Linked DNA regions of Drosophila melanogaster. The protein of the gene in region 1 interacts with the protein of each later gene in a pairwise test. Each region holds a gene or a part of one and is shown in the gene's direction. Other genes may lie near its edges. The genes, in order: SmE and SmF.

Region 1 (2,902 bases):
GCACTTAATAATAAAAATCAATCATGAGTCTGCCCCAGTTGATCGAGGATCTGCAGCGCCTTTCCGAGGATCAGGATAGTGCAGATGTGGTATTCATTTGTGGCAGAGATGAGCGCATATATGCCCATAGATTAATGCTAATGGCTCGGTAAGTTAAATTGTTTTTTCAAACAAATACTTAAGAGATTAATAAATTTTGGTGATACCTTAAAATCTTATAAATGCCAATAACTGTATAATTTTTCTCTGTGGAATAAGATAATTGCCTACGGTTGCCTTTTTCGGAATCTTACAATGTTGCGTGCTGGAATCCCGGGTATTCCAGTTGGTCACTTAATTAATTTGTCTTGCCTTTCCATTCACTCAATTCGATTTCAGGTGCAAGAGCTTCAAGACTGCGAAGAGAGGTGAAGTGTGTCGAATTCCCGGATGCACAGTATCGCCAGCAGCCCCAGGAGCTTCAACTCCGACCACCATACGATTACCACACGTGAATCCGGAACTATTCAGGCAGTTCATCTTGTACGTTTACACCGCAAAGGTAAGAAAACTACTTATTAGTAACATCTAACATAATAAAATTATAACCAAAATTCATTTTTCAGTTGGTTCTCCAGGACTCGCAAGTATTTCAAATGATGATATTGGCACAGGATATCGGTGTGGTTGAGCTACGAACTGCCTGCGAGGATCACGTTATATCGACATTGTCGGTGGATAATGCCTGCACATTTTTAACCGCCGTTATGGATATACACGAAAAAGCAGGTTAGTAATATTGAGTAGCTCTTTTAGAAAATCACACCTTTAAAAGTAAGCAATTATGTGAAGTTGCATATTCGCGCCAAAACACTTTATACATTCTACATAATATGCTATGTCAAATGTATTGAGACTAACCATTCTGAAAGTTTTGGTATTTTTTGTACCACATCACATATCGATAAGAAAAAACATATGCACGTTGTGTTATCAGAATCACGTAACACGCAATGCATGTTTTTATTGCATTATCAAACTTTAGATATAACAACTAATCAATAGCTGGCAGATATAGTTAGTCCCAAGCTGCTCCAAAATGCAGAAGCCGATTCGTGTGTTTAGAACTTGGATTGTTCACGTTGTATTCTTTGGCCGTACACCCGAGAAATGAGGTTCCACGAGTCCATAAACCGGTCCATGCACATGGAAATGCATTTCTAAATTGGATATTAATGAAATACTATTTAAATACATATTCTATAGTGCAAAATAAGATATGTATAGCTTGCCTGTTCGGACGAATCGAGGGAAGTTCCCGGCTTATTGACACATTTTTTGAAGCACTTTTCGGTCATTTGCGTGAGCAATTCCTGGGCATTCGCAACAGCAATCTGTTGCTTAACCTGGTCCATAAGTTCACCTTTGTCCACATTAGCCATAGCCATTTGTTTGGTTTTCTTTATAAACTATAGTTTAATTCAGCTATGAATAAATGGCAACAACTTCTGCCCAACCACAAAAACTTAACAGTGCGATTGTGATAGTGTTTCTATCGATATGGTTATGCTACCAGAGGATTTACCATTTTGGTATCTTTAGGCTGGTCGATAGTTCGGTAGGCCGCGATTATGTGTGACCATCTGTGCTGTGCCATCGATATTTCTGCCTATCGCCTGGACGAAAAGAAGACGCCGGCAAAAAGAAGCGAAAATTTGTTTAACTCAAATTAAGTCGTCGGAAATCAGCAAAAATGTCGTTCAAAGGAAATCCCAAGGTGCAGAAGGTGATGGTGCAGCCCATCAACCTGATCTTCCGTTACCTGCAGAACCGGTCCCGCGTGCAAGTTTGGTTATACGAGAACATATCGCTGCGCATCGAGGGCCACATTGTGGGATTCGATGAGTACATGAATCTGGTGCTGGACGACGCCGAGGAAGTCTATGTGAAGACCCGGCAGCGCCGCAACCTCGGGAGGATCATGCTCAAGGGCGACAACATCACGCTCATACAGAACGTCAGTCCCACGAAGGACTAGGCGACTCAGCGGCCATCCTGCGAATCCTTCGAATTCCACCTGCAAACGCTGAACGCCCTTAATATAAGTAAAATAAATGTAAAGCCGATATCTGAAGACGAATGTTGAAATAAATGGTAGACTTTCTGTAATCAAGTGTTTCTAATGGGTAAGGTAGCAAATACGATCCGATTTCAGGACATATAGAATAGGATGCTGTCTCAAGGTAAAAGCCGTTGAGTGTCTTTAAAAAACAAGGAATTAATTTTAAACTTTCCCTTTAAATTTCAGGTGCCAAATGCGCTGCCTCGTTTATGGAACGCTGCATCATCTACATAGGGGAAAATGCAAATGAGTGCGTTAAGACTAATGCCTTCCTTACTTTAACAAAGGATGCCATTATTAAGATTATTTCCTCAGACTATGTAAGAGTTTATAATGAATAACCACTCAATTTACTGAATTTCTTTAATTACCAAAACTGTTAACTACCAATAGTTCTGCTTGGAAGAGGAGGAAGTGTGGCGCTGCGTTTTATCCTGGGCCAAATACCAGGCAGGAGTCACCCAACCCACTGCACATTGGACTGAGGAGGAGCGTGCTCGTGTCTGCCAACACTTAAGCGGTGTAATGGGTCACGTGCGTCTGCTTCTCATCGATAGCCAAGTTTTCGCGGAGGAAGTGGAACCTACAGGAGCTGTACCTATGGAACTATCCCTAGAACGATATCGCTATGCCGCTTTGCATGCCAATAAGATGATGGATAACGATAAGAGACTTCAGCCCCGCCTAGCTGTAGCGGTCAACATGTTTCCCGGATCCCAAATCCTGAAGAATGACAATCTGGCACTACAGACTGTTCTCAATAATTGGGTTGGAGTGGGCAAGCAATCCTGGAGATTAGTT
Region 2 (3,238 bases), on another chromosome or scaffold:
AGTAGCTATGGTTGCGCTGGAACCAAGTGTAGAGCGCCACCAGTGCGGCGACCACCACAAAGAGGACCTCGGTCAACACCATTTTGGGGATGTCGATGTAATGGGTATCGCCACTCTGAAATTAATCGCTAAAACAATTAATCAAATGCCAGTGCCCTCAGCATTATCTTATCTCGATCGCATTTGAAACGGTCGATGGTTTCAAATGCAATCTAGAGTGTTTTGCTACCCATGTTTACCTAGATTTTATTAAATCAGCCGTCTTAATTATTTTTAGCTGGCATTATCTTTTCCATTCCAACGCGAATTACAATTAGTTATGATAGGGAGCATTACAATGAGTGTTTATGATACGCTTATAGTAATTCCCGCCATATCTACACCCAATTAAGCTGCTTGTAAAGCTAAATAGAAAATCTTTTCGGGCAGCAAATATGACACTAAAAATTTGCCAGCAAGGATTTCGTCCTAAGCTTTATTAATTATACATGAGACTACTATTTCTATAGAGCAAATGTCCAAAATATATTTCTTAGAAACCAGTTCTCTATTTATTTTAGTAACAGTAACAGTAACCAAGTAATCTTAATTTTCACAGTTGCCCTCAATTCCATATTAAGTGTGGTTTTTTCAAGGATATCACACTTTTTCAAATTAAAATATACAATTTTGTATACCGAATTTCATAACTTACTTTGAAAATATACAGGTTTTTTTAGTCACACAATTTATTTGCAACTGGCCTAATTCGCAACAAGTTTGTCCAGCAATTTCAAGGAAACTTTTATTGGATCTATAAATTCTGAGCACCCGCGTACACAACCGACAATTAAAGCTCTACGCACCGCACTTGGGGCGATTTGAAATGTTGTTTGCGTTTTTATACTCGAAAGTCTCAAAAGTTCTGAGATAGCAATTTCAAGTGCATACTTATAAATTCACCTGTGTGGTGGAAAAAGCTTTAAAATACGACAAACAAACCACAGCAAATCCAGAGGGACTCTAAGATAATTACAAGTCATGATTACATTTATTATAATGATTCTTAGTTTTAACAACCTTATTTACTTTTTGTGTGCTATGGTTTAGTTAGATTTTTAAAAGCGTTAACGCAATACATATACGATATGAAAAGTATTGCACGCTATAATCTATAAATAATTAAACACAACCGGCTTTCTCGTCAAGCTTTTGATGCATTTGTGAATTTCATTATTGTTGCGTTTGCTGCTTTATAGAAACAATTGCAAAATGCCTGGGCGAAATGACGGGATCAAATAAATCTATCAGATAGCTGCGTTCATAGCCAAGTTCCTTGAGGTAGAGCAGGCGATCCAGGAGAATTAGACTCTCCAGCACCGGAGCAAAGGACATGCGCAGCAGATAGAACAGATCCAAGAAGTATTTATGCACGGCATATTCCTGGAGCAGGGATTGAAGTTCTTCTTTCTCAACAGCTGCCAACCAGGGAGCATCCAATTTGGTGGCACACTTTTGAATGTACTCCTCGAAACTCTCGAATTTCCGTACCTTGCCCACCTGCAGTTCGTTTTTCAGCTCCGGCGCATGGCGGCAAACCAGAATCTCCAAGAGAGCTCGATAGTAGAGCGTTACATTAGGCAGCTCCTTGGTGTCCAAGGTGCGTTCAATTGACTGGGCCGCCAGCATCCGCGCATTGCGACCCATTCGCACTTGTCGCTCCCGCAGGTACTGACTCAATGGGAATCCATAGTCTGTTTGCAGCTCCATCAGGGACTTATTGCCAAAGAACTCCTGCTGCGAATAGCGCTCCCGCAGCAAATGATAGCAGCAGCCAACATTACAAAGCAACCGGCAGTCCGTTTGGGCGTGGAAAACCTGAAGACAGGTGGCGGCCAGGTTGCCACAGGTATGCAATCCAGTAAGGCAAATGTTTGGACTGTCTTCCGGTCTAAACTGAGTGAAATTCTCCGCCAGCAGGGCACCAAAGTTAAGTTCGGTGGTTATAAACTTTGCCGTTGTCTTGTAGTTTTCCAAGGCAGGCGCACTCTTGGTGCTCTCCCTGGCTGGCGACTTTTTACCACGTCTCTTGGGCGTGATTCCCTGGACTTGCAGCTCCGCTCGTTCCGTAAGGCCATTCCAAGCGCGCTGAAATTAAATAAAATTTTAATTTTGGCGCTTTTGAATGGTTTTTCAATACTCTTCTTCTATGCTATTCTTCTTCTTGTTCTGGTATGTTTACACAGCGCAGCTGTGGTCACACTACACAAAAAAAACGCGAAAAGCCGGCGATTTTCGGCACGCTTGTTGTAATATTTTATAAAAAAGGCAGGAAAAATCAAATAAACAGAATGTCGGCTGGTATGCCCATTAACCCCAAGCCCTTCCTGAACGGCCTGACGGGAAAACCGGTGCTGGTGAAGCTGAAGTGGGGCCAGGAGTACAAGGGCTTCCTGGTCTCCGTCGACGGCTACATGAACATGCAGCTGGCGAACACGGAGGAAGTGATCGAGGGCTCCGTGACTGGTAATCTTGGCGAGGTGCTCATCCGCTGCAACAACGTGCTGTATATCAAGGGCATGGAGGACGACGACGAGGAGGGCGAAATGCGCGACTAGCCAATGGATTCACCTACATACACCCACACCTTACTTCTAAGTCTACAAACGTAATGAAATAAAGCTAACTTTATTTTGTAAGCCCGGCCTACCTGCAATTTGCGATTCCTATTCAATGCGTTCTCGGTGTTTGCCGCGTTCGCATCGATGCCGAGCACGCGGTGACCATACTGGAGCGCCAAGCGCGAGGATAAATACCCTTTGCCATCGCCCGCGTCTACAATGAAGCAATCTTGACCGGAGTTCTTCACAAGCTGGTCCACGAGAACGGCTGTTAGATCCACCTAATCGGAGAGATTAATCAATTCCTAAAATACTCTCATTTAAAATGGTTGGTTTACTTACCTCATGGCACTTTTTGGCGCTCATAAACTCCCGAATGCTTAGCTGCGTGGAGTTCCCCTGACCCTCTGAAGCGACAGGCGTTCTTGTTTGCTCTTGCCTAGGAATTCTCGCCATGCCGGAAACCTTTCTGATTCATCAGTTTTCCAAAATAGGTCTTCTATGGCCAGAGCCACATCTTCCTTGCCGGCGATCTCACTTTTCAGCGTTTCGGATAAAAAGCCGTCCCAGTGCTGGTCCGTCAAGTAGTTCACCATGTGGCAATTGACAAAATCCCAGTGCGGATTGAGGAAGGCCAG

Evidence for each region.
Region 2: the proteins of SmE (region 1) and SmF interact in binary tests that used the Drosophila melanogaster proteins (3 or more experiments, as listed by UniProt).

The regions. Positions count from the first base shown.
Region 1 is NT_033779.5:7,884,174-7,887,075, reverse strand, and holds SmE (small ribonucleoprotein particle protein SmE), read left to right. Parts: upstream 1-1,625; 5' UTR 1,626-1,732; coding exon 1,733-2,017; 3' UTR 2,018-2,146; downstream 2,147-2,902. Other genes in the region: CG34132 (uncharacterized protein), read right to left, coding at 1,101-1,199, 1,272-1,427; CG7102 (uncharacterized protein), read left to right, coding at 24-148, 379-541, 606-768, 2,288-2,421, 2,495-2,902. UniProt on the Drosophila melanogaster protein: Plays a role in pre-mRNA splicing as a core component of the spliceosomal U1, U2, U4 and U5 small nuclear ribonucleoproteins (snRNPs), the building blocks of the spliceosome.
Region 2 is NT_033778.4:12,183,282-12,186,519, reverse strand, and holds SmF (small ribonucleoprotein particle protein SmF), read left to right. Parts: upstream 1-2,209; 5' UTR 2,210-2,330; coding exon 2,331-2,597; 3' UTR 2,598-2,676; downstream 2,677-3,238. Other genes in the region: Cyp6g1 (cytochrome P450 6g1), read right to left, coding at 1-82. UniProt on the Drosophila melanogaster protein: Plays a role in pre-mRNA splicing as a core component of the spliceosomal U1, U2, U4 and U5 small nuclear ribonucleoproteins (snRNPs), the building blocks of the spliceosome.